Regions from separate parts of the Mus musculus genome. Here regions 1, 2 and 4 are each reported to be linked to region 3. The links are microRNA targets in miRTarBase. Many come from high-throughput screens and were not tested one by one. Region 3 holds a microRNA gene; each other region holds the end of a gene's coding sequence.

What was found. Region 3 holds the annotated microRNA mmu-miR-503-5p (UAGCAGCGGGAACAGUACUGCAG, at 3,452-3,474, shown strand). A microRNA usually pairs through its seed, bases 2 to 8, with sites in the 3' UTR of a target mRNA and lowers its output. Matches are read on the target gene's strand: a 7mer-m8 pairs with bases 2 to 8, a 7mer-A1 pairs with bases 2 to 7 and ends in A, and an 8mer does both.
Region 1: the mRNA of Cyp19a1 is a reported target of mmu-miR-503-5p. The part of its 3' UTR that is shown has no 7-base or 8-base seed match.
Region 2: the mRNA of Fshr is a reported target of mmu-miR-503-5p. The part of its 3' UTR that is shown has no 7-base or 8-base seed match.
Region 4: miRTarBase lists Gabpa as a target of mmu-miR-503-5p. Seed matches in the 3' UTR shown: 7mer-m8 at 1,715-1,721.

What each region holds. Positions count from the first base shown.
Region 1 is chr9:54,161,026-54,168,146 of GRCm38, forward strand. It overlaps Cyp19a1 (cytochrome P450, family 19, subfamily a, polypeptide 1), which reads right to left. Exons shown (of 9, transcript NM_007810.4): 9 at 4,912-5,980. The coding sequence ends at 5,732. Among named protein-coding and RNA genes, the nearest start is that of Cyp19a1, 29 kb to the right of the region's middle.
Region 2 is chr17:88,979,169-88,986,289 of GRCm38, reverse strand. Fshr (follicle stimulating hormone receptor) reads left to right here. Exons shown (of 10, transcript NM_013523.3): 10 at 1-1,338. The coding sequence ends at 1,120. It also overlaps the pseudogene Marcksl1-ps2. Among named protein-coding and RNA genes, the nearest start is that of Lhcgr, 190 kb to the right of the region's middle.
Region 3 is chrX:53,050,380-53,057,500 of GRCm38, reverse strand. It overlaps Mir503 (microRNA 503), which reads left to right and starts at 3,447; the gene lies at 3,447-3,517. C430049B03Rik (RIKEN cDNA C430049B03 gene) reads left to right here and starts at 311. Exons shown (of 4, transcript NR_038185.1): 1 at 311-503; 2 at 732-843; 3 at 1,337-1,359; 4 at 2,011-4,389. Mir351 (microRNA 351) reads left to right here and starts at 4,148; the gene lies at 4,148-4,246. Mir322 (microRNA 322) reads left to right here and starts at 3,152; the gene lies at 3,152-3,246.
Region 4 is chr16:84,859,277-84,866,397 of GRCm38, forward strand. Gabpa (GA repeat binding protein, alpha) reads left to right here. Exons shown (of 10, transcript NM_008065.2): 10 at 1,099-4,503. The coding sequence ends at 1,327. Among named protein-coding and RNA genes, the nearest start is that of Gabpa, 28 kb to the left of the region's middle.

The DNA.
Region 1 (7,121 bases), not on the chromosome of region 3:
TTATGAAATTCCAAGCCCAGGGTTGGCTCAAAGACTGCCTAGGATACTGGTGGAGGCCAGGAAGCAAAGTTTAATCTAACTAGCTATTTGTCAAATCATTCCTTGGGGATACCTATAACAAAATAATACTGAAGGAAAGCATGCAAAACTCTCAGGGACAAATCTGAAACACATCTGTGTTACAGGACGCCAAAGACTCCAGGAGACAAATTTCTGTGAAACTTTTTGCCTCAAGACTGCAGCCAAGCTTTTGGACTTGTCAGGCAGACTTCACTGGAGTGGGTGTGGCAGAATCATAGTCTACAGTGTATATGTCCATCCATTAGCCTGCCTGCCTGCCTGCCTGCCTGCCTGCCTGCCTGCCTGTGTATTCTTTCAGCCTGTGTTCTGTTGGTGAGATTTATCCACATTGTTGAATGCAGTCGATTTGTTTGTTCCCATTGATTTATAAAGACATGATTTATCTTTCATATAGTAGACAAACATTTGAGAAGGTTCTACTTTGTGATTACAATATAGATATAGATAGATATAGATATAGATATAGATATAGATATAGATATAGATATAGATATAGATATAGATATAGATATAGATATAGATATAGATATTTCAGCTCACAGGGACCCATATATTTTGTAGAATCTGCTTAAGGGTTTTTTGGGTTTTTGTTTTGTTTTTGTTAGGGTCATGTATTCCATACCAATGTTATTCCTTTAATATGTGCTGAGCAAAGCCCAAAGCTGACCTGTTATAGCTCTAATGTTTACATGTGACCAGCTTTCTATATCCACATTGAGGCCCCAGTGAGCAGAATCAGCTTCCCAAGGCAGACTCACAGTCTCAGGGGAACTCAGGGTAGCTCTGCAGCTCACCTTGTATAGCAGCTAGTGGCCATGGGTTACTGGGTTCCTGAAAGGAAAGCTGGGGTTGGATGGGAAAGGCGACGAGAGAAATAATGAGCCAAGACAAAGTTCTTTGATCAAGGCCCAAAGTTTACTTATGAGTCTGAACTTATAAAAGGGGGGCTCCCATCCCCGGAAGGTAGTGGCAACTTGGCAGAGGCAGCAGATGTGGCAGGACAATATACTTTACTTAGGTCAGAAGACTCCACCCTAGGTGAGCTAGCAACTGTAACAAACACAGTCTGAGCCAGCCTGCTCAAGGTTGGGGGGGGGGGTTGGGCACAACCTTGTAACTTGCTTTGTAGTGTGCAGGTGGTGCTGTCTATGTCTCTTCTGACTGAAATGCCTCAGTATATAGCTCCCTTCTCTCCTTGTTCTTCTCCTTAAATGCATAAAAGCAGTTTCTCTTCTAGCAGGTGCTTCTCTTCTTGTTCACACCCTCTTCCCTTTTCTCCCTGCTCACACAGCTAGATTTTGTCTAGATCTTTCTTTTCACAGTTTGTCCTGAGCTGTGGATTCAGTCTGTCCTTTTCTGAGATGCTCTCATCATTGGTCCTTCTGTTCCCTTCTCCCTGACCCCAGTACCCTTTGTCATTTCCTTAACTGAAATCCCCTTTTCCAGATTGGCAGCCCTCCCATTTCCAGAGTGCCTGGCTTTGACTGTCCACCAAGAAGGGTAAAGCACAGATCTGGACATGAAACAGACCAAGTCAAAGGTTTACGCACTGACCGGGTAAAGTATGGGGTGTAAATTAAAATGTGAGAGCCAACTAGAAAGAAGATGTAAGTTGGACAACTGCAGAAACCAAAACATCAGGAAGCACTGGCCTTAGTTTGGTGCTGAGCTTGTAACAAAGGCAATAAAAGAAACTATAGATTACAGTGTTGCTGTTCTTAAGACAATAAAGCAAATTTTCAAAATATTTACAATCAGCTTGAGAGAATATTTTACTCATTGTTATGTCTCCTAAACACTCAGCATAGCAATGGCCTATAAATATTTTTAAGGCTAAATTAATAAGTTACTATTATCCCTGGATCATATGTTTTGAATAGTCACTAGCCAGCAGGTAGTTTCCAGTGTGTCACAGCTCCAGCAGGTGGACACTATGTTTCAGCTATGTTCAGATGTAGAAAGCAAACCACGGAGAGTAACTTTCTGTGTCACAGTCCTCACTGGACTGCTTCTGAGCTAAACTCGGGTGAACGGCTGGAGTCAGCCTCTTGGGAATCCAAAATAAATGGATATTGAAGGGTATTTCGGACTACCAGACAATAGTACCAACCATACCGTCTGGCACACTACATAGTGAGAGGCTGCCAGAAGCTTGGGAAGGCTATACTCCCTCTGTTGGAAGCTGCCAAACTTCAAAGCTCACAAACCTGTGCTGTGTCTGCCCCTGCTGACTGATTTGAGAACTGCTGTTCTCCAAGCTTGGAAGCACATCCTCAGAGGAAGGTGAGGCTGGGAGAGCTGACAGAGCTACCCTGCCCTTTGTGTTTTTTTAGGGAGTGGCGTATTGCCTACACTCCAAGTTGGAACCTCTGCTCTGACAAATAATAATGCCTTAGAATAGGCTCTGGGAGACTGACCACTGTCCTGAAAATGTTATGCTCTGCAGAATCACGATAGAAGATGGGGGAGATAAAGGCCATTTGTGTGTGTTTGTTTGGGTTCTTTGTTTTTGTTTGTTGTTATTTCTTGATTTTTGTGTTTGTGTTTTGGCTGGTTTTGGTTTTGGTTTTGGTTTTGGTTTTGGTTTTGGTTTTGGTTTTGGTTTTGGTTTTGGTTTTTCGAGACAGGGTTTCTCTGTATAGCCCTGGCTGTCCTGGAACTCACTCTATACATCAGGCTGGCCTCGAACTCAGAAATCCTCCTGCCTCTGCCTCCCAAGTGCTGGGATTAAAGGTGTGTGCCACCACTACCTGGCTTAAAGGTCATTTTTTAATGAATTGGAATAAAGTTCAGAAGTCATGGGTTCCAGTCCCAACTGGATCACTTCTTCAAGTGACAGGTTCAGTTTAAAAACCTAGGTTTTACTAACAATCTGAAGGTTACCCACATGTGATGGGTTATATGTGCATAAAAGAGGGAAACACTGGCCAGTGGGTAGCAAACAAACAAATGGGGATGTGAAGGGATGCTTCATAAAATAATAAAATGGAGATAATAACTTCCTAAATTAAGTTGAGTACCTAACTGAAAATATCATGTATTCCAATTCATTACCAAGTTCAGTTTAGCAAATCTTTCTGAAAATCTAAGTCAGAGGTCAGCCCCAGAACTGATACAAGATACAAAAGAGAGTCCAGGTAGTATTATTTGGAGATGGTCAACACCACATACTCACATAGTGAAACGTGATACTTAGAAATACAAAATGGCAAGTTCCAATGGTCATTTCCCAATATGAGAAGAGTTCTGAACCTCACTATTTTCCAGTTGGAAAGAGAAACAGCATCCCCATTAAAGCCTGGGGAAGGTGATCAACACAGTTGAGAGGAGAGGGGTAATCGTTCTCACGACTTGATTGTGGTAAAGCTTACGTGCATGTATTTTACTGGCAACACACAATCTACCTTTTTGGAAGCTGACAAAAATAGAATCTGTGGCACCTTTGTTAATTAATGAGCACTTAGGGTTTTCAAACATGTGTCCATCAGCCTACTGGAAAGCCAACAGACAGATTCCTCAGTCATGGGAACATATGGTGTTTGTCTGAAGATGCTAGGTTCAACAGTTAACCAAATATTTGATAATGGGAGATGCTCCCTCAATCTTCTCTTCTCTTTCTGTCCTCTCCGTGTTTCTGCCTCCAACTTCTGTTTGTTTTTTTCCTCAACATATTTTTGTGTCCATATCATCTAGATACAACTCTTCCAACTTCTACTTCAGCATAAAATATATGCCTTCAGTGCATATTTACATGTGAAATAAAAGTAGACACTTCAGGAGAATCGGTGAGTGAAGAACACTGATAAGAGCTCTCCTCAGTCATGCAGCTCCACAGGGAAAGATAAAGTAGTGCACTGAGGATTAGCGAGTGGATTATCATAATATGCTAACCTTCACCTTGATCATTGGAGCCAAATCTGGATGGTTATCTAGACCTGGAAACAGACAGATTTGGGTGGATAATTATATATTAGCTCCCTTTAAATCATATAAATTCAAGCCCAAATATGTCCTTCCTGACAATGTTCATACTTGAATTTTTAGGCTATCCATGAGCAAGTGTGCCTATGCCAAGCTGATCTTGACAGTGGATTGTTGTGTCCGGCCAGCAGACCACAACCTGGGTTCTAGCCTGGAAAGGCATTTTGGAAACCTGGAAGAGAAGAGGGGCTAGGTGGCGAGAGAAAGGAATGTAGCCAAGACAGTTATTCTGATCAAGGCTCAAATTTTATTGTTGCGACACTAGTTATGAAGGAAGGGGGAGGGGACCCGATTCCCGCCGAATAATCTCTGGTCCAGTAGAAAGGTGCACGTGTGTGGCTCCGCAGGTTCCAGCAGTGGGCGTGGCAGAACAAATGAGCAGAAAGCTCCACCCCTGAGCAAGCAGGTTTCAGGCTGGGGGAGGGGAGACTACAGTGGATAAGGAAAGTTAGATTGGGAATGGAGAAAAGATAAAATAACAAAACACCTACACATGTTTTACACTCAAGTGTTGCCTTGTTGCTAAACAAAAAGAATGTTCGCATGGGACATGATGGCTGTCCACTCGATGGAAACATGTCATGTGTGTAAGCCTCTGGGGTAACACTTAAATCTGAGGTAGGATGAAAAAAATGATTTGTGAAGGTTTGACCCTTATTTTTTGAAAGAATGGGGTCATGACAAGAGAGAGAGAGAGAGAGAGAGAGGGAGAGAGAGAGAGAGAGGGAGAGAGGAATGAGAAGGTGTGTCAAAGGAAGAGATGGTTCTTTAGAAGTTGGGGCCCCCTGGCCTGCTGCATTTCCTTCCATGGAACTAAAGGAACTAAGCAACAATGCAAAGTTTTTTTTTAAAAAGACTTCTTTATTTGAAATGCACCATGTGATTTTTCCCCCTACACCACACATAGAGTCCTAGCTATATTTTACTCAGGCTAATACTACTTAGGCATGTTTTACCTGAATCTATACCTACTACAGTCTAACTACACTCCTGGGAGCACAAATTGAGAGTAAGAAACGACACCCTATATTTCACTTTTGCCCCCAAACAGTTTACATGTGGATCCACCGTAAGCAACTGGGTTTAATGTAGAAAGAGTCTACCACACACACACACACACACACACACACACACACACACTATGTATTCATGCATGCACAAGTACACACACAGACTTGCATACGTACATGGCACATGCTTGTGGGCGCGCACGCGCGCGCGCACACACACACACACACACACACACACACATATGAAAGTCCTGTTGTTCATTTATGCCTGGCCCACATGCTGGGATGTTGACCTGGCCTTTCTAATAACTTAAGTACTTCTGCCAGAGTCATTTCGATGTGCTGACAACAGCTGTAGAACTCTAGCAGGAGACCAGACGTGTTTTACTGATGGTCTGTCTTTCCCAAGGTATATATTGTAGGATTGGTCCTTTAAGGCTTCAGTTTCTTCACTGGTCCCCAACACAGACTCCTTTCTTTTGCATCCTGGCTCCCTGGATGGATGCCCAGCTTGATGACAAACCATAGGAGCTATGATCATAAAATTCTACAGACCATCAAATGTTCATGGTGAGGTTCACGCCACCTACTCGATAAAATGGATGGTTTCCATGTAATTACGGATAAGTAATGCCCCAGAGTAGATAGGCCACACTTCTTCACTGTTGGAGGTACTTGTCTGAATTCCTTGGAGAGAAAATTATTTCCACAAGGTGCCTGTCCTCATTTGGGTGCAAGGACAGGTCATTCTTTTTCGGTATGTTTTCAATACACCTTTTTTGCAGTGTCTTCACCTGGAATCGTCTCAAAAGTGTAACCAAGACAACTTTCATCATCACCATGGCGATGTACTTCCCAGCACAGCCGCGGGGCCCAAAGCCAAAAGGCTGAAAGTACCTGTAGGGAACCTATGAAAATGATCAGATGATTAGCCAGAATCATGCAACCATCTTTCTTTGATTTTTCTCTGAAAACACTGACCAGTCAGAATATTCTAGCTTTGGCATTCAGCCATGCTCCTTCCTGCCTGAGACCAACAACTGTGGCTAACGAAGCTACTGTGCCTCTCCTATGACACAGACCGGCCACAGATAGCCCCTAGTTTTATTTTACATGTCAATAAGCTGAGGTAAGGCAGTGCAAATCACCATGTTATTAGAAACCCTGTAGAATAATTTCAGCTTTCCTGGTGCTTTGCAAGTTACTAAGGCAAAGTTTGTTTTTGTGTGACATCATATAATAGATGAAATGAAGACAAAAGCTATGTATGTCCAGACTGTTAGTGTCAAGCTTCTTGTGTGCGTGAGAAAGAGAGGGGATCTCTGTGGCCTGGGCTTGCCCCAATGTTCTGATCCTCTTTCCTCTACCTCAGAGTGCTAGGGCTACAGTACTATAACATTACATCAGGTTCACTGGAAATTTCTAATTACTGTGAAAACTAATAAGGATCATGTCTGTCTGTCTGCCTTGTCTAATATGTATTTATGATTAGAATTACAAAAAAATTTGTTGACCAATTGACCGACAAGGGATCATCTGGGTTGCCTGCCTAGAATCATTAATTAGAGTACCATATCAGCATTGGGTCCCCATGCTACACACAAATAGAAAAAGAGGAAACATAAGGAGCTACTTGGAAAATTCCATCTTAATAATATTGTTCTGAAACAATGGAAGCAAAAAAAAATCTCTCCTATACACCAGCCGCATATAAAAGAATGCTGATTCTTTAATCATTGAGTTTTATTTAGAATAACATTCAATGCTTGAGGCTATTTGATAGAATAAAGGTAGCAAGAAAACTAAACCTTATTTGATTTCTATCTAAAGTAGAGATCTACAGCTGAATCTAGATGATGCTAAAGTGATGCCTTAGTTTCTTTTACTTTATTATAGAAAAAGGGAGAAATTCAGGCCTCAGTGCTAAAGAGCACGGGATGTTCCTCTAGAAAACTGAACCAGGTTCAGTTCCAGCACCCACATGGTGGTTCATAATCACCCATAAACTCCTGTTCCAAGGGCTGTGATACCCTCTTCTAAACTCTGTGT
Region 2 (7,121 bases), not on the chromosome of region 3:
TTATGGAAAAGGATCTGACATGTTGTATAGTGAATTTGACTATGACTTATGCAATGAATTTGTTGATGTGACCTGCTCGCCAAAGCCAGATGCATTTAATCCATGTGAAGACATCATGGGGTACAACATCCTCAGAGTCTTGATATGGTTTATCAGCATCCTGGCCATCACTGGGAACACCACAGTGCTGGTGGTCCTGACCACAAGCCAATACAAACTCACTGTGCCCCGGTTCCTTATGTGTAACCTCGCCTTTGCTGATCTTTGCATTGGGATCTACTTGCTACTTATAGCCTCAGTTGATATCCATACTAAGAGCCAGTACCACAATTACGCCATTGACTGGCAAACAGGAGCAGGCTGCGATGCCGCTGGCTTTTTCACTGTCTTTGCCAGTGAACTGTCAGTCTACACATTGGCAGCCATAACCCTAGAAAGATGGCATACCATCACACATGCCATGCAACTGGAATGCAAGGTACAGCTCTGCCATGCTGCCAGCATCATGGTGCTGGGCTGGGCCTTTGCCTTTGCGGCTGCTCTCTTCCCCATCTTTGGCATCAGTAGCTACATGAAAGTGAGCATCTGCCTGCCCATGGATATCGACAGCCCTTTGTCGCAGCTGTATGTTATGGCCCTCCTCGTACTCAACGCCCTGGCCTTTGTGGTCATCTGTGGTTGCTACACCCACATCTACCTCACAGTGAGGAATCCTAACATTGTGTCCTCGTCAAGAGACACCAAGATTGCCAAGCGCATGGCCACACTCATCTTCACGGACTTTCTCTGCATGGCCCCAATTTTATTCTTTGCCATTTCCGCCTCCCTCAAGGTGCCCCTCATCACTGTGTCCAAGGCCAAGATCCTCCTAGTTCTGTTCTACCCCATCAATTCTTGTGCCAATCCTTTCCTCTATGCCATTTTCACCAAGAACTTCCGCAGGGACTTCTTCGTCCTGATGAGCAAGTTTGGCTGTTATGAGGTGCAAGCCCAGATTTACAAGACAGAAACCTCATCTATTACCCACAACTTCCACTCCAGAAAGAATCCCTGTTCCTCGGCTCCCAGAGTCACCAATAGTTACGTGCTTGTCCCTCTAAATCATTCAGTCCAGAACTAAAAATCAATGTGAAAATGGATCCTCACCTTGAAAGACAAGTGTGACTTCTTTCTGGAGAGAGGGCTATGGAAGAGCTGGCAGTGTTGCTACATATTTCATCTAATTTAATCTTTCTAGGTATGTGCATGGCAGATAGGTCAGGGACCATTAATATCTCATGTGACTCATCTAAGAACTGAATTATTGGTAACCGCAATTAAAATAGTGCAACACTGCTGCATGCTTGTTTTATGTTTCTGTTTTGATTATCTCAACAGAGTTGGTAAAAAAAAAAATCATGTTCAGTAGGCTAGACAGGAATTTTTCTTGGAGTTTTACAAATGAGGAAATTAAGACCCAAAGATCTCAGTGATTTCTTTGACATTGCTCGCTAGATAGAGGCAGAGCCAGGATGAAGTATCCTGACTTTTCAAAATTTTCCATGAGAAATTCTACACCACTCATGCACATGTTTACCGGATGCCAGTGATGGTTTTGAAATGGGTCACCATGTATAGGCTCAACCACATTGCCCAGAATCCTCTTTCAGTTAGGGTGGACCACCGGAAGAACATTAACAGCCGTGCTGTGGATCAACACTGCTGCTGAAGCTGACTCAGCTCAAGGCAGCCCTCTCCCTCTGGCTGGATCCTCCCTCAGGCCACCTGAGGGGTTTCATAGCATGACTAGGAAGCACAAAACTTCTACAGGATGTTTCACCACCAAGGTCAGCGCAAGGACAGAACTGGGGCTCATCACTTGGTCTCCCTGGGGTTGCATTCTGTGTTTGCTGAGTGCATGCTTGTGATCTTTCCTTTATAAGGACATATGCCCTGAGGACACTGACAACATCCTTACACATATTGCTTAGCCAGCCTCTCAAATGTGGGAGAGACAATTCCCAGTAACAAATATTTACCACCTATACATATTTGCATTCATACATATGTATGATTGCTTCTGCTGTTCTGGCTGAACTCTAATGGAAAATACACCTATTATATGGTATGCATATAGATTACAATGTTAAGAATGCAGCAGCTTTGAAGTCAGTGTTAAGATTTTTGTTCAGATTCTGTAATACACCAGGTTCAAGCTCTTCCAGCTCACCTCTTCCTCTACAGATGTACCCACTGAGTCTCTACCTTTTAGGCTCCCAGTGATAAGGAAACAACCAATTACCAAGTGTTTTATGCTGCTGCAAATTTAATATTAATTTATCTCTTTCCTCTCAGCCCAATTCGTAGGCTAGGCACCATTTCTCCTGGCCCTTGGTCTAGAATTCATTGTTACCATCAAAAGTCTTGATGGGGTTTGTTTTCTTTTTCCACTGGAAGAATTAAATGGCAGGAGAAATCCTAAGCACTGCAGGTTGCAGCAGAGGAAGTCCTGGACACAGAAGATGGGATCGGCCAGTGAAGAAAGGCTTTTATTAGGGGTGGGGAAACACATACACAACAAATACACAGAGAAAAGGTCCCTCTGTAGAGGAGAGAGGACACTAAGGAGCCTATGGTCTAGTCTCTCAAAAAGGCCAACACGTGTCCCGTTCCAGTGTTGAACTTGTAAGACTATTCCAGAGTCTGAGGAGCCTTTAGTCAGGGGGAAAATTCCACAAAGCCTGTCCCACCTTAGCTGCCATCTTTCACTATCATTTGTAACCCCTCTTCCTATCTGTCTGCCTATCAGGGGATTTATCTAGCTGCTACTCCTTCAAGTCCATTATAGTACTTCAATACTTAGAAATGAGCATGCTACCCGCACCTGTTCACAGAAATAACCCTATCTGAATAGCTACATCATATGGAACCACCCCATAAGTTCCTCCAAGCACTGTTGTGGCCAGTCCATACAGCTTTGTGCACCAGGGGTATCTGGGGGAAGGTATGACCTCTAAGCTATAAAATCTGTGCTGTCTTTGTGAGGCCACGGCTTGGACCTGGTTCCTTGGGTGTTTTCTTGTGCCAGGAAGTAAAGGGCTGGTTGTCCCCCACCCCCAAGTCATGTCTTCTATCCCATCCCTCTTTCCCCTCCCTCTCCTGTTTCCTCCCTTCCCCTTTCCTCTCCTTTCCTCTCCTCTCCCCAACTTTCCCTTCTGTGGATTCTCCCATCAGCAATATGATTTTCCTCTTAAGGACAGTTGAAGATGGTCCCTTAGGATTTCCCATCCATTAAGTTAATGGCGTGAAATGCTCCTGCCTCTCCTTCCCTCCTGGGCTCCACCCCTGCACAAGGAAATTGTTGTTTCTCTCCTCAATTCTTTTTCAATTAGGTTCTGTTTTGCCTCCTCCCTAAACCTCTGAGCCAGAAGTGAGGGGACTTGAACTCCCAGACTTGAGTGTCCAGTCTCCCCATGCTGAGTTTTTAATCTCTTGTGCTGTGCTCATGGCACCTGGGCTGGGGAGGACTTTGTCCTGTCTAGGAGTTTATAAATATCTTTCTCAAGTTCAAGCCTCCAGCTTGTGGATCAAACGTGTGTCTTTGATTTGTTAAGCATGTCTCGGGGTATGAGGGAGTGCTATAATCGACACAACTTTTATTGTCTTTTTTTTCCCACCGGCGTCGTATGTAACTTTTAGTAGCCAAATCCCAGACCTATACTTTGGGGTGTTTTGGTTTTTTCCTTGCTAAAACATCATTCTCTTCCACCTAAAGCCACTATAACATTTGGAAAAGGAATAAATGTTGTGCCTTAAAAGAAAACAAATATTTGCCAAAGAGCAAGAAGAAGGGGGGATTGTCTTCTGTCCTGCAGAAGATTCTCAGAGCTTTGTGAACTGACCATGGTACAGCGTTAAAAGAAATTTAGGGACTTGTCGAAAGAGAATTTCGTCTTCTAAGGGATCTCCTTGGAGGAACCTTTCCCATTGCCCTCCACTCCCTGGATAGGGCAGTGCTGACTGTATGGCCCCAGCTGCCTGTTGATGAGTGGTGTCCCTATGAGTTGGCCTTCTCAAGAGTATGAAAGCAGCTTTTCCTAGAATCCTTGGAGGAAAATAGTTCGGTAGGATGGCCCAACAGGTTGAGGGATGGGGCTGCAGCCCAGAAAGTGAGTTGCACCCCTGCTCCACAGTTGCTCCCCATGCCTGCAGGCAAGAGTGCCCTGGTGAACATTATAAAGGTTATTCCTAATGCATTAACAAGGGCATTCGTTCTATTTCATCTAGACAAAAATTACAACTACCTCTGTCCATCTGACAGAGCACTTTTTCAATATATTTAAGTTGAAAATGAAAAATTAAACAGTATTCCTTGTAAATATTTTAGATTGTGAAGAGAGAAGAGGATGGAGAGAGACAGACAGACAGGCAAAAAGAGGGGGCAAGAGAAGAGGGCAAAGAAAAAGGCAGGCAGGAGGGAGGAAGTTGGGCATTCCACATTAGGAAATAGAGTCTAGACCACTGAGATGATTCAGAAAGACAAAGCATTTTCTAAGTTCTCCAGTTTTCCTCTCACCTCCATGTCTGAGATATAACTACACTAATATATTCTCACTTTTTGCTGTTATATTAAACACCACACACATACATACAACTATCACCATCATCATCACTATCACCATCCACATAATAACATTTAGAAATCAAATGCAGCTTTCTCTGAGTCTTCCAACAACATACGGGTGTTCTAGAATGTTACTGTCTAGTACAGTAGCCATGAGCTGCATGTCACTACACAACACTTAAAATGTGGCTAGCCTGGATTAAGATGAGTGGACTGCATAAAACGCACACTGGATTAGAAGGGCATAAAAACAACAAAGGAAAACAAATAGCTTAGCAATTCTTATATTGTTTACATGTGCTTAAACATATTGGAACAAACAACACAATTAATACGAATTTCAGCTGCCTTTACATTTTTATTGCAGCTTCTATAAAATTTACAATTGCACATAGAGTTTGTTCTCAAAATCTGTGGGAGAGCTGATCTAAAACCCTAAGAAAGCATAACGCTTTCCCTTCTCACTCTCCCCACCGCTCTCCCACTCCAAACCCTCCACCACGCCCACCCTGCCCACCGGTTGGCTAGACTGCTGGGTTGTCCCAGCACCACTGACAATCATTCTTCCTTGTTTGTGGCCAGAGGCAGTGAATTTCTGAATTTAGAATCAAAAGAGGAAGCTAAATCATAAATATGATGGGAAAATAATCATCTCACAACATAGCTGCTAATGGCATGCTGCTTTAACAGACTAGCTCTGACAGCAAAGAAGATGATCAGAGACGAATACACCATTCGAGGAGTTCAGACAATGCTCTGCCTGTCACTGTCATTGCAACACTTCCTGTCAAGACAGGGGACAGTTCTGAAACAGGCAAACATATTTTGGGGTAACTAAGTCAGTGCAAGTCCTTAGGGACAGAGACACCGCCTTCACTTTCTGCACTTTAATAGAAACTATTAGAATCTGCTCAGCATCCCTCATCTGCCGAGGGTAATGGTCCAGGCAGCCCTTCTGAAGCCATGCTCCTGGGGCGGCGGTTCATTTCCAGGAACATGCTGTAACAAGCACACACAATCAAAAGAAACGTCGAACAGCGCGGAGACCTTAGCCCATGGACACTGGATTCAGTCCAGCTCTCCATCACATATCATGGCAGAGTCTGCTTACTCTACCGAGTTACTCAGAAAAGCATAACTTCTACTTTTTGTCCTTTTAAAATAGAGCTGAAGAGTTCTAATGTGAGAGTCACAATGTGCTTGAATAGTGAATCTGCGGGTCTGCTTTCAATAGAGCACCAAGAAAGGGGGGGAGGGGGAGTTGGAAAGGAGGAGGAATTTCAATTAAAAGAACTACAAGTTTCTTTAACTTCATTTTTAAGGCTTTATGTTATTAATCTCTTACATATTACGTCCTGACTGCAGTTTCCCCTCCCCCTTCCCCCACTGGTCCCACTCTGCACTACCCCACCCCTGTCCCGTCCCTTTCTCCTCCTTTCCCTTCAGAAAAGGGCAGGCCTCCCAGGGATATCAACCAAACATGGCATATCAAGTTAAAATAAGACTAGGTTCCTCCCATCATATTAATGCTGGACAAGACCCAGAGATACCACTTGTGGGCATACACCAAGGGATGCTCCTTGCTATCACAGCAACACTTCCTCAACTATGTGCCTAGCTGCTGTATTCATAATAACCAGGAACTGGGAAAAAGCAACATGTACCTCAACCGAAGAATGGATAAAGAACATGTGGTATCTTTACACAATGGAGTATTACTCAGCTGTTAAAACAAATAGCATCATGAGATTTTTCCGGCAAATGGATGGCACTAGAAAATATCCTGAGTGAGATACCCCAGAGCCAGCCAGAAAGACACACATGTTGTCCACTCACTGATGAGTGGACACAGGCTGCACAGTAAAGGATGACCATGCGACAACCCACACACAGAGAGGCTAAGAGATGAGGAAATCTTAAGGAGAGACCCATGAATCTCCCTGGGAAGGGGAAACTAGGGCAGGTGGAAATGGGAACTGGAGGGATCAGGTTAAGGTTTATTTTTATTCTCAAACACCATGAAGAGGACTGGTTGCCCCCAGACAATTCCTTTATTTTTTAGTATGCAAATTTGTTTTATTGTGTAATAGTAAAATTATATGTATACTAGAGAATTCTTTTTTTTTAATATTTATTTATTTATTTATTTATTTATTTATTTATTCTTACACTCCAGATTTTATTCCCCTTCTGGTCTACCCTCTGACTGTTCCACATCCCATACCTCTTCCCCACCCTCCTATCTCCAAGAGGATGTCCCCACCCTACCCCCACCCCTCACCCCACCAGACCTCTAAACTCCCTGGGGCCTCCAATCTCTTGAGGGTTAGGTGCATTTTCTGTGATTGAACCCAGACCCGGAAGTCGTCTACTGTATATGTGTTGGGGGCCTCATAACAGCTGGTATATGCTGCCTGGTTGGTGGTCCAGTTTTTGAGAGTTCTCGGGGATCCAGGGTAATTGAGACTGCTGGTCCTCCTACAGGGTCACCCTCCTCCTCAGCTTCTTCCAGCTTTCC
Region 3 (7,121 bases):
GTCTTTGAGCTGGAGCTTGGTTGCTTCCCTTCCCGCTTTTCCCCTTTCCCCTTTCTCCCTGGTTTTTGTCTCCTGCACCCGCGGCTATGAGGCTCTCTGTACGTGGCCACTCCAGGCTCCCCGTGTCCTTCCCGGCCCTTCCTGGCTGCAGGCCAAGGCTGTGGCTCTGCGTGTCCGCACGGCCTCCCCCCTCCCCCCTTCCGCTCCGGGGCCTCCGAGCGAGCGGGCGAATGGTTGGGCGGGGCGCGGAGCAGCGCATGGCCACGCCCCCCGGGCCGGCTTTTTCTAGGGCTGCTGCGGACCACTGGGCGCTGGCTGCTCCCGCTCGCCTCTTGGGGTGCGCTCGGCTCCAGCCCAACTCCGCCAGCTCCGCCGGCTCCAGCACCGCTCCAACCCGATTCCAGCCGGATTCCAGCCCGATTCCAGCCCGGTTCCAGCCCGATTCCAGCCCGGTTCCAGCCCAGCTCCGTCCCGGCTCCGGTTCTTCTCCGCCACGCCTCTCTGTGAGCCCCTCGCCCCGCGAACCCCGGTTCCCCGGCTGTCCGTCCCTCTGTCCCTCGATGTCCCGCACCACCGCCACCTCGCGCCCTCCCAAGTCTCCGCGACTCGCTCTTCTAACCTCACAACCTCGCCACACCCCTCCGCCCTTTCTCTCTCGCTGTCCGTCTGTCTGTCCGCCTCCCCGCCCGCCTTTTCCTTCCTCTCTCTAGCTTCCCCGGCTTGTTTTCTAGGTCGACGCTGAGGAGCAGCTTCGCAGGAAAATCCCAGAAACCTTTGCAAAAAGCTTACAATGAAATTTAAGAAGTTCTACGATTTCGGCGCCATTTTCGAGTGGAGTGAGAGGTGACTTAGAATCTAAAAAAGAAAAAAACGAGGGGGAAGGGAACTTTTTGGCCCGCCTCCCCCCGCCCCCAACTATGTCTCTGGTCACTACAGACTGTAACAGATACGGGGATAATTCTCAAAAAAATGTTATGCGTCGCGCTGGGTGGGGTGTGGGGGTGGAAAGCGTGTCCGGGGGTCGTGGTGGGGGGAGGACAGATCTTTAAAATGTCTAGCAAGTGAGTGTGGCCAGGGAACTTCTCAGAAAGTGGACTGAGAAGAGTAAACGGGGAGGGGTGGGGAGAGAGAAATGAGTGAGGGGCGGGCAGCCTCAGGCTGTCAGCCTTGCCAGGGTGGGGAGCAACTAGTTTTGACAGACTGTAAATGGGACTTTGGGCCACTCATTTGTAAGCAGTAAAGAATGTCCTGGAAAGAACCGTAAAATTCGTTTTCCATTGTCTCTCGCTAATTAAAACTTTTCAAGGTTGTTTAGTTGTTTTTTTTTTTTTTCCAGTATTGGAAAAGTTTGGCTGGAAGGTGCGGAGGACCTGTGCATCATGTTTTGGGTGTGGGGGCGCATGGCATCTGCAACATTAAAAGACAAAACGTTCTCAACTGGGAAGAGAGGAAGAGGCTTAGTCTTTGGCTCTTAAATCATTTGGCCAAACCCTTCGCAGTTCTGAAGTGGGTGGGGCCATTTTGACCCGTCGTGGTTCTGAAGTGGGTGGGGCCATGGTAACCCTAAAGTATTGATTCTTTGTCTATTGTATCAGCGAATGACCCTCTCTAGAAGTGACCAGACATCTCTTTGTGCTCTCTTTTCGTAAGTAAAGTTAAGCCCAAGGGGAAATACACAAACCCAGGGAGTGAGATGGCTTTTTAAGGATATAAGTCGTTGTAGAGTGATGGGAAGAAAAGAAATGGATGAAGGATAATCTAGAGATGAATTTGATTCCAGTGTATTCGTTAACAAAATTATCTAGTAAGACCTTCGTTTTTGATGATGTTATCTCGAATGAATTTTGTTTTTATGAGTAGTCAACTAAGGAAATGTTAAATTAAGAGGAATTGCAATCTCTGATGTGACATTTGTGTGGGACATAAAGTTAAATTGGGAGAAAAATACGTATCTTTAAAGTATAATTGTATCTTTACTAAACACGGCTTTTCTCTCTCCTCTTTTTAAAGGTGACCATCGATGGTTTTTTCCTCCACAATTCCGTGTCCATGTAAAAATGACTTGTAATATAGCCAAGAAAAGACGGAATTTTCATTCCAACTTAAGGAGTGGGGCTGTTATTATTAATGGCTTTATTTATCATGACCTAAGCAATGCATATGTTAGCACTGGATCATTATCTGTTATGTTAGGAATTTTGTATTTAGTTTAATTACATACTCTGTATATTTTATTAATTAATTAAAAGGACCCAGCATTCATTGTACTAGTTTCGAAAAACGGACATAATTTTAAATGAGAATACAGGAAATTTGTATACAGAATGTTTTTTGCTTTCAAAGGCACTGTAGTTTTGTTGTTTTAGTTATTAGGTTTGTGGTTAAGGACTAAAGGATGGTTTTTGTGCTTTCCTGAATGCTTTGTTTAAACAAGGAAATGAATGTAACTTGTTGCTCATGTGTGTCCATTTTGAAAAGCAACAGTGGGAGCTGAGGAGAGCGCACAGTGCCGGCCATTTCAAGACAAGATTTTCAGTGGCGTGGCTTAAGAAGGAGTGATTTGTATTTAACATCAAGTATTTAAGGATGTCATTTATTTAAAGTTCTTGATTTGTGATTTGATGTCGATGGTAACAAATGTCTTTATAAATAAGCTTGAGTAGCCAGCAATGTATGAGAACATCCAGGAATGTATGTTTCATCTAGAACATTCTCATGCTTTGTCCTTAAAAATAACTAATGACGAGGTGATTACTGTAAGAACGGAGGAAACTACTAGACAAGTCTATTCCATGCCTATAGTATTCAGTAAAACCAACTGGGACTACCCAGAGGGATTTTTTTTTGATTATCAAAAGTTCCTTGCACCAATTTCCAATAAATGATCAAAACCCGGGGACAATAAATGAGACTTATACAAGGTAGCAGGAAGTTTCACCAAGACTTTGGAGCTGGCAAGAGTGATCCAGATGTTACCAAATTGTCTCAGTTTATTTAATCCCACTTTTCATCTACTTTCTGAGGTAAGAGTCTCCTCCTCCCCACTATCCACCACACCCTGCTTTCCAACAGTACACCCTTTGCCTCACCAGCAGATCCTGGAAATCACAGAGACTTTCTTCCTTCGCAGGTACCCCAGAGCGGCCCCCACCCTCGTTGACTCCGAAGGGCTGCAGCAGCAATTCATGTTTTGGAGTATTGCCAAGGTTCAAAACATGAAGCGCTGCAACACCCCTTCGTGGGGAATGTAGAAGGTGGGGACCTGCTGAACAGACCTGTGTGGGTTCTACTAAAAGCCCTAAAGCAGGTAGGTGGGAGGGCAGGGGCTTAGTCTAGTGAGGGTCACTCTACACAGTCCAAGGGCCTGGGTGGGTGTGAATAGCAAGGTGGCAATTCACTTGAAGAAGGGACAAGGCATCCTGTACTCAGCCCATCCCACTCAGTCGTGCCCTAGCAGCGGGAACAGTACTGCAGTGAGTGTTTGGTGCCCTGGAGTATTGTTTCCACTGCCTGGGTAAGTCTGGGTCTTCCACATGGGCACACCCACCAGGTAAGTTTCGGTTAGCCTGCAGCATAGGCCCCATGGGAGGGAGACTCTAGAACAGCTCCCAACTAGAGTTGCTGATCTGTGACTCTGACTGGGTGTGACTGAAAGTGTGTTGTTAGCGCCTCACTTGCTGCTCAGGTAAAAGTGAATCAACTGGGAAAAAAAAAAAGCACTTCCTGGTCATCAAGTAGTATACCACCCACAAGAGCGAAACAAGAAAATTTGTCCTAAGTCCTCAACAACAAAATGGAGAAGGGGTCCTTCCAAAAGGAATAAGAAGGGTTCTGAAGGGCAGGAAGGATGACTTGAGAAAGTCCCCATTTCTCTTTGCAGTTTAGGAAAGATTAAGGGGTCCGTGGGAGTGTCCCTGGATCTCTTCGTGTCTTGCTGGTGCGGACCCCCAGGTGGTACAATGAGAGGCAATGGCCCAACAGGAAGCCTCAGTGAGGCTCTGCATTTCTAGTCCCCATTTATCCCCCTTTCCCAAAGTCATCACACAATTCTACATGGCAGTGGGGACATGGGGACACCCTTGTCACTGCCTAGAAGTCTCTGAGAAAATGGCTGCTTTGTGACATCCCAAACTCTGCTGTGATTAATCATGGCACCTCCGTTTCCCTGAGGAGCCCTTTGAGCCTGGAGTGAAAAAAAAAAACAGGTCAAGAGGCGCCTGGGAACTGGAGAAGAGTGTTAAACTTCTGGAGCAAGACTGTACTTTTCCTGTGAAAATCACTTTCCATAATCTGGAGTATAGGCATGTAAAGGACTGTTGGAAAACGGAGTGTGGGTGAAATCGTGCTGCTTTGTCTTATTAAAAAGAAATAAAATACATGTACACACACCCTTCTGGTCTGTATGAACTGCTTGTCATCTTCCCCAGGGACTGGGTGCAGGCCCCCATAAAAGGTACAGTTAGAGGAGGCCTTGTGAGCCTGGGAGTCTAGCTCTAGCCACCAAATGCCTTTCTCCCAGACTCCTTTGCGTTTGAACAAGGTGTGGGAGGTGGTTTGGGTCCCGTTGGGCCCCCAAGGACCCCCTGGCTCCCAGGAGCACTGAAACCCCTTGGAACTTAAGCCACGCCTTGCCCCCATCTCCTTGGCTTCTTGAAGCCACGCCCCCCAGCTCCTGCCTCACCCCTCCCCTTGGCAGGGCCCCTCTGGCCCGGAATCCCCAAGACAAATGGCTAACAGGTTCAGGCGCCCCGCGTTCCTATGCGCAGGGTTGGAGGAGGGGCACTTTGAGACTTCCTATTCTCCCTCACCAACTTCCCTTCTCCATCTCCACTGTTCAACAGGGCTTTGCCTTATGCCAGAGGAAGAGCGCCGGGGCTCACTGAAGGCCCCCACTCACCCAGAAGAATCTGGCCTGCGCCATCTGGCTGCTTCCAGTGGGTGCCTGCAAGATTCAAGTGAGATTCAGGTGGGTTGGGGACTTTAGAGCAGAGGAGCAAATGATCCAGGTTTAAGGCCACTGACTAAGAATCTAAGATGCCATTAGCCCAAGGTGCCCAAGGGCGCCAAAATTGAGCTCATCCACATAGCACCTGGCTGCGTGGTGCCCTTTTTTGATTTGAAATGCTCTTCGCACCTTTATTTGCCTAGTCGAAGTTATGATGTGCTTCGATTTTCTTCCAAGGGCAAAATGTGAATAAAGCAATATTTTAGCCAAACACTTCTATGTCAATTAAGAAGATGGCAATTCGTTCCAGATTATAAATTCCCTTTAACAACTCCCTAAGGTATTCTTTTAAATTGTTTTTCAAACATTGCTAAATGTGCATGATAATGTGTGGGAGACTTGTATAAAGTGATTCAATTTATGGTCGGCTGATTAATTGATCCTCCATTACCACATTCAAAGAGGCACCTCTCCATTGTTTTCTCCGTTTTTTTTCCCCCAACACATGTTATTTGTTAGTGAGGAAGCTGTGTGCACGTGGCATTGTAAAAGGTTACTAGACAGACATGGCTCTTAAAACTATGAAAAGCTTAGCCTGGCTCTAAATCTAAACTCTGACATTTCTGTAAGTTGTAGGACAAGATATTCAGGTTATTGTGATACACTAGAATTGAACATAATTTTGTAACAATTTTAATAACAGGAATACTTCTGAAGGCATCTTCTGCTAGCCATATTGGTTTGGTTTGGTTTGGTTTTCCAACAAGGGAACACTACATCAACAATCTTGGGGATGTGGACACAGAAGACTCCTGTTCCAAGAAAGTACAATCATCTTTCAAAAACTGTAATTTATATGCGTTTTACCACACTAGATATTGAAAACCACCCAACTAGGGGGGTACAGTATATAACCAGTCACTAGTGTAATATTGTATACCTTTTTAAAATGTTATTGGAAAGTGTTTTATGATCTGTAAGTCAAATAATCCGGCCCCACCGTTTTCATTTTTCCTGCTATTCCCCCAAATCTAGGCTCCTTTGTTCCAGTTGGCATGTAAACTTGTTTTTTCCACCAAATGAGTCAGTCCTGATAGAAGCGTCAATTGATTTGAACAGATGTGTGTCAATGTTACTTGGAAAAACTAGATGCCAATAACCAGGGCCACAGAAAAAGTCAGCAAATGTAATTGTGTAAAGCATTTATGCATGCACGCAGACAAGGAGAAAAGTTGAATCCTAAACAGGAAAACATTTGGATACACTCCAGTGCTGGGAGACCAAATAATTCTGTGTTGCTTTTGATGTCCAGTAACATGGGCAACTGTCCAATTAAACAAACACCCAAGAAGGACTCTGCAATGCCCATTATTTTACTGATTATTCTAAAGCACCATACCTGTCAATCCATTGAGGAGGAGGGAACAGCAAGGGAAACATGATGAATCTACACGACATAAATTAATTAATAGGCAGATTTCCTGAGAGACGGTGCAGATTAAAAAAAAAATACAAATAGGTTCAAAAAGTATGCTTCAGGAAGATCAATGAATATATATTGATAGAGATCAAAAGACTTGAGCTGTGGGCATTACCAAGTTAACATTAATTTCTAGAGATCTATTTTCCCGTTGTCCAGAAGCATTTCTCATGATGCCAGAAACTTATACGTTCATCTTTATGTAGAGTTATTGTATGCCTCTTAAAACGAAACACAGTATGTATACACCAATCATAGCAAATCTGTATCTCCGAGGCCCAGTTCAGCCTGCCTTATGCCCATCCATTGAGCTAGGATCTCCTGGCTCTGTCCTAATATTTCACTCATCTGTTTCCTGCACTGGGTCCACAATTGATATCCTCCTCAAGTTTAAAGGGGCTTAGAGCCTTGTGGGAGGAGCCTCTAACGATTTCCATTTCCTGTGGTCCCTCAGCCTTGGAGCACTCCCCTTTACTCTTGAGCTCTGTCTTCGGAGCAAGTGGTGAAAATTGAAAAGCGTGCCCCCCTCCCGCCCCCTCCGCCGCACTCCCCCCCTCCCGCTCCCCTCCCCAGCTCCAAGTCGGGGGCATTGTTGGGGGCTGGGAATACTGCTTGCTTTGCAGCCTGACTCCTTCCTTCGGGTCTTTTGCTACCCCTCCCCCACCTCCACTCTGCAGAGTGAAGGCAGAATGTTTG
Region 4 (7,121 bases), not on the chromosome of region 3:
TGTGTGTGTGTGTGTGTGTGTGTGTGTGTGTGTATTTGTGTGCGCGCGTGCATGCACCCTTTTTTCTTTTACCAAGAAATGACGATTACACCAGTCCTAATTGCATTCTAGAAATATGAAACCACTTTTTTTCCTTTTCCCAAATGTCTATTTATCATAAACTTATATTTTTAAACTGCATGACAAGTAGTTTAGTGGTTAGTCAATTCAAATTTTCTGTTGATGTGAAGTCTGATGTACAAAGTAGCTATAAACTCGGCTGCTTCTGCCTCCATAGAGAGTGTAGTAAAGTAGTCTAGCGTAGCCTCCGAGGCCGCTCTGCAGTGCGGGCTAGACAGTGGTGCTGCTTCATGATGCCTGCCCTTCGCCTCTTTTCCTGGAGCCTGTTTCTTCTGACCTTAGAGTTATTCTTTTGGGATCCCTCGTGGTTTGGAGAATTTCTCCAAAATGTGGCAAGCCTTTATATAATAAATGGAAGATGAAGATATTTCTTTATTGTATTAAATATATCATATTAGATTTTATATAAAACAAAAGTGGACTTCACAACCAACCATCTGTAACTTTTTGTTATCTGGATTCCTGTTAACATAGCTTATATTTTATAGAGAGTTAACTGTGGCAGTCATTGTAAGCTAAGCACTTTATAAAGATTATCCCTCTATTCAACAGTTCTATGAGGGTAAGTACTGTTTTAACCTCATTTTCTAGATGAGGAATAAAGGATTAAAGGAACTAGGATGGTCCTGTGGTCACAGAGGCAGCAAGTGAGGCCTTGCGGTGTATCTCTGACTTTCCAAGGCTCTTTTGTTTTGTCTTCTCTTTAGTAATTCTGTTGGTTTCTAAAGCAATGTTATCAGAGTTGTTAAAAATGTATTTTGAAAGTTTCATATATAAGATTCTGGAGTAGTGAGGACTGAAGTTTTGGTGAGTAATGTTCTAGAGTTTGATTTGTAATGTGAAATACTGTGACGTCAATGTTAACTGTTGTAGTGGATTCAGAACTCTGCTAGGTTTCTGTTTGCAGAAAAGTCTAAAAAGTAGGGAGTACAAACTGTTCATCTTTACGAGGTCCTGATGTGGTTTCTCTTTTTAAAGGTATTATTATGATGGGGACATGATTTGTAAAGTTCAAGGCAAGAGATTTGTGTACAAATTTGTTTGTGACTTGAAGACTCTTATTGGATACAGTGCAGCAGAACTGAACCGTCTGGTCATAGAGTGTGAACAGAAGAAACTGGCACGGATGCAGCTGCATGGGATTGCCCAGCCAGTCACGGCAGTAGCACTGGCAGCCACCTCTCTACAGGCAGACAAAGAGATTTGAGACCTAGGACCTCCTGGGGAGTCTTAAGGTTTTTCTTAAATATTTAGAGCAAGCTTTGCTCTAACCTTTATTACTGAATTTGAATCGTATTTCTAGAGTGTACAATCTGATGCATGATTTTTTTTATAAATATTTCATACTCTTGTGAATTTGGATCTTTTTACGTTGAACATATATTTTAGAATATGTTAAAGGATCACCACGATGCCTGCAATGTGAGAGCAGGTTCATCGGGGTAGTTTGCTAACAGTCAGGAAAGCTAAACTGGTCAGTATTAATGTCTAGCCCTACCAAAAAATAGCCAGTAGCGTCTGAAGATGAAAGGAGGGAAGCATTTCCAGGAAACAGCCTGGTGTAGCCACTGCGGGCGTGGAGCTGTTTCCTCTCCGCTGCTTTACACAGAGCCTGAAAAAGGACATTCTCAGCTAAAGCATGTGTGCCTGTTTCATCTAATCAAGCAGAGCTAAGCAGTCCTATCAAATACAATTACATTGGTAATTACTAAACTATCAGGTTATTAATTTATAATTTACAAGAAGAGAGGAAGTTAACTGGCAGAAGAAAGTGTTGAATGAGACCCAGATTTAAAGCTGGCTTAACTCAAACCACTATTAATGGTTTTCTGTATAGATTATTCATTATGTCAAGCCAAGGTCTTAAATTATTTTGAGAGAGGCATTTAATTCTAATAAACCAGCTATTGCAAAAATTCCAAAATGATATCATTCTTTCTCTCAGATTTTAAAAAGTATACCTCAGAAAGAAAAAATTGGTTTAGTTTTGACTTCCTATTTTTTTAAAAATTAATCTGTAGTACCAGATTATTATGCAAGACCGTTTATATATTCCCTTCTGTGTTTCTGATAAAATGAAGACTTTAGATCAGGCGACATGTTTAACGTTTGACGTAAGTTCCTTGTGAGTAGTTATGAAAGGGTTTGACTGGGCTCTGTAGGCGATCTTCTTTAAATAAAGTTTCCCACTTGTTTCATTTTTTTTCTTTTGAATATTGCATATATGACTCTTAAAAAATACTGTACACATGACTAGCTAACCATTTCTGCATATATGAAGACAGATATTCAAGGGGAGATTAATATTTCTAACATTTTTAAATAAATCTTATATGAAATGCCTTACTGCTTGCTAACACTAAGAAGAAATGCCTAAAAAATTTTTTTCTTCATTTATTTTAAAGTATTATCCATAAATCATGATATGAGAGATTAGCATATAGTTTTCATAACAGAAAGGAATTCCTCAGAACAGGATAAAGGCTACTTTATATACACCTCTCTCATTTGTTTTTCTTTCAGTTCATTTCCCAAATTGGCTTTAGAAGAGTTTGAGGAGAGAAAGTGCAGCCTGATGATGCAGCCAGGACCGAGTGTTAGGGAGAAGACAGAGGGTTTCTTACCTCCTATATCATGACTTCCAGTGCTGGGCTGTCAGACTTCAACAAGGGTTGCTAGTTTCTTTATATTAAGTCCTTTAAGATTATACAGTAAATAGTTAAAAAGAGTAAAATCCTATTTTTTTATATTTGCTCTTTGTTTTTATAAACAACAGTAGGCAGGCAAATTATTAGTACAGTTTGGTCACCATGAATTGAAAGAGTAGAGTATAAGAATAATCTTTAGGCCCTGACTTTCGACAGCAAATAGGCCTGGGAGCCGTAAGTCACTGCTTGAGAACAGGGCATTGCCGCAGTACATCAGAGCTTGAGAAGCTCAGACTTACAGTGTGTTGGAGACATTATGTTAAAGCTTTAGCCAAGAGGACAGACTTTGTGTATCATTCGGAGGAATGTGTTTTAAGGAAAGGAACATTTATATTTGTTCTAGGTCCCTACAATCAAACATTTCCAAATCCTTAACAAAACAAAACAAAACACACAAAACGTGTTGTATAGCTTTGCTTCCTTTGGAAGCTGGTGGGTTAGTTGTGATTTGAGCACAGTTCTCAGATCTTAGGTGGTTGTTCTCTACCCCTCCTGCATCCTCCATGCTCCCCCCACACGGAAGGAGACCCAAGCTTTCTCACTCTGGCTCCACTGAGAGTTCAAAGATGTGTTGTTCTTATTGAGGCCCCAGTTTGCTATCATCTATTAAAATAACTCATGTTATAAAAGAATGTTAATTCATGGTAATCCTTGCTCAGTTTTGTCGTGCATTTTTCATAGAGCCTAAGATACAGTTGAACAAAAAGAACAGAAAACGGTCTGACCATCTTTTGTACCTTATAAGTTGAAGAATAATGAAATGTTCCTGTTGCTAGAAAAGCGAGTTTTCCATGTGATGTTTACATTGACGTCATTTTATATCTGTGCTAGCCTGAAGTCTGAGCTAGCCTGAGGTCTGTGCTAGCCTGAGGTCTGAGTTAGCCTGAGGTCTGAGCTAGCCTGAGGTCTGAGCTAGCCTGTAGTCTGTGCTAGCCTGAAGTCTGAGCTAGCCTGAGGTCTGAGCTAGCCTGTAGTCTGTGCTAGCCTGAAGTCTGAGCTAGCCTGAGGTCTGTGCTAGCCTGAGGTCTGAGCTAGCCTGAGGTCTGAGCGTTGGTGCTGGCATTGGAAGGTGCAGCCAGTTAGGCAGAAGTGCTGGCTGTGACTGAGCTCCTCATGATGAGTTAGCCAACTGCATTCATTTTAGTGTTGATCCATGTAAATAAAGTAGGAAAAATTATTCAGTTTTTCTCCCCAGATAAACAGTAATGCTGGAGTATGGTTATTTCTTTTAAAGAGTGTACCTCCAAGTATTTTTGGCAAGTTCTGTCATTTTCTGCATTTGCCATTTATGCTACTGCCTTTTATAAAGAACTAGTGTATCCTTGAAATAGCACAAAAATGTTTTAAAATTTATAATTGCAAAACAAACCTGTGACTGACTTAATGTCTTCAGATCTAAAGGCTATAAAAAAAATGTTGATATTCAATATTTCACTTACTCCCAAGAAAAAATACTCTTGAGTCTTTTGTAGAAGGGAGGAGAATTTTTGCATACATTTTTACTCTTTAAATAAAGACACTTATACTATCATAATAACAATTATGTATTTCTTTGTTTTTTTGTAATTTTACATAAAACAGTTATTTTCTATTTTTACTCAGATAAATATTTGTGCATAAAATGTAAAAATAGTAAATGAGAAAAATTATTATACAATAAATTCTTATGTTGAAAGTTTTTTGGTTTTTGTTTTCTTCTGGAAAAAAATTCAGAGTCCTGGGATCTACCTCTAGTGAATGTACATATGATTTCTCTGCATTTCCTTTCATGACTTAAAAAGCTATCAAAGTAGTGATTCCCCAGAGTATCTCTCTGTCTCTGTTCCTCCCTCTCTCTCTCTGTCTCTCTCTCTCCCTCTCCCTCTCTCTCTCTCTCTCTCTGTCACACACATACACACACATGAAATAAAAATGTAACTGGGGAGAACTGATTTTTTTTTGAGACAGGGTTTCTCTGTGCAGCCCTGGCTGTCCTGGAACTCACTCTGTAGACCAAGATGGCCCCAAACTCAGAGATCCTCCTGCCTCTGCCTCTCAAGTGCTGGGATTAAAGTCGCGCGCCACCGCTGCCCGGCTATATTTAACTTTTCCCCCCTGTTTTGTAGTCAGGATCTGACTGTAGTCAGTAGTCTTGAGTTCAAGCTTGTGGTCTTCCTGCCTCTGGTTCCCGAGTCCTGCAGTGACGTGATGTTTCAGACAAGAGTTTATAAGTTAAAATGTCGTTTGCATCTTTGTGGCCCAGCACTGTATAAACTTGGGCATGCTTCCATAAGAAACTCATGTCTATGAACTGCATTATTTTAGAATGTGCTGTTTCCCGTTAGTTGGGAGTGATGAGAACCATCTTATCCTAAACTAGGGTGGCTGCTACATCACTCCCGGGACCATATATATAAGCATATATATCTGCTTATAGTAAATAAGCGTAAGGACCTATGATGTGTGGTAGTGGAGACGGGTGCTCAGTCCACGGAACGGTAAAAAGTGCTGAATCCATGACTCAGTGCTAAACTGAGTAATAACATTGTAGGTGTGTCAAACATCTCATTTACATTTTCCTTAACCCTTTGATGTGCGTTATCAGTACTATCCAATTTGCAAACGGACGTGTCAAGGTTGCTTGCAGGCTAGACCTGAAACTAAGGATGATCTTTTTTCTTTGGGAAAAGTCTATCCCAGTAAAGACTGCTAACAGCTTCACTAACAAAAGCTTGTGGTAAGCAAATGACTCACACACTGGGTGCCTTTCCTGTGTCACGTGGCTTTGTCTTATCTAAAGTGAGATATTTGTGTCAGAGCCAGCCTTAACTCAAACGTAGGTGTCACTGTTGCTACTGAATCACGAGGTGAGTTGTTACCTCTCATGAAGGATGGATGCATTTGTCTGGTGATACCCGAATATATACATCAGTCTTAGCATCTGTTGTGTGACAGAACTTCCAGGGAGGACGCAGCACATCTCCTGACCCCAGATAGGGAACGCATAACAGACCAACGTACAGGCACCATCAGAGTCTAACTGGTGATGGGAATACGGGTGAGAGGCTACTTATGGGAGCAGAAATGACTCGAAGACTGCTGCATCACCAAAGCACACTTGAGTGTGGATGGACGACAGCCCACAAAGCTGGGAACCTGGAGCACAGGGCACACACAGCCTGCAGGCAGCTCACCAGATTAGAGAACAGCCTTTACAAGTTAGCCAGGTTAGTGGCTGCATATGCCTTTAGCCCCAGCACTGGGGAAGCAGAGGTGGGAAGACCTCTTGAGTTAAAGTCCAGACTGGTCTACAAAGGGAGTTCTTCCAGGGCTACACAGGAAAACCATGCCCTTGGGGTTCAGAAAGGGGGTAGGGAGGCACAGCTGAACTAAATCTCTACCAGGAGGCTCGGCTGGTTTCAGAGAGTCTTCCTTGCAGCTCAGCATCCTTGCGTTTAAGAGGAATGCTCAGCTTTTATTGCTTACTCTGGCAGGAAGGAGCCCAGTGAATCTGCTCAGTTTCAGGGACTACCTGAAGCTGTCATGAGGTGTTTACCTTGATTGAGTAGCTTCCTGCAGAAGGAAGTGTTTCAATCTGGAGGAAGTGGTTGCTCCACAGCGTTCCAGACACAGCTCAGAGGTTGCCATAAGCCCCATAATGAGATGCATTAGGACCGATCTTGGCAAAGAAATCGAACCATGATCTGACAAATCCCCAAGTTGAGGACCGGTTTATAGGAAGAATAAAGCAAAAAGCGCCTGTCAGTTTCAGGGATGTAATCAGCAAAGTACAAGGAAAAATGACACAAAGATAATGATTTAAAACGTCTGGTATAGATCGAAGCTGCAGAGATGGCCCAGTGCCTGAGATGATATGCTTTCTGAGAGGTCCAGAGTTGAGTTCCCAGCATTCATGTCAGGAGGCTCACAACCACCTGTAACTGCAGCTCTAGGATATGATGCGCTCTCCTGCTTCTGTGGGTACACACACACACACACCACACACCACACACTATCCTCTTTGAAATGTTAATTACAGAGATAAAAGGAATGTGTAGGATAAAAGATACGTATAAGTCTTCTTATATGAATCAAATACTGCATGATCTTTGGACCCTAATTACAGTAAATGATCTTTGGATCCGAATTACAATAAATAAATAATTATAAGTGAGAGTTGAGTAACTAGAGAACACTGGGTATTCGGAAATCCTGAGGTTGCTGTACTACATATTTTGTGGTTATAACAAAGGGGAGGCAAGGGGAAAGAATGCCCATGGGGGCTGGTGAGATGGCTCAGTGGGTAAGAGCACC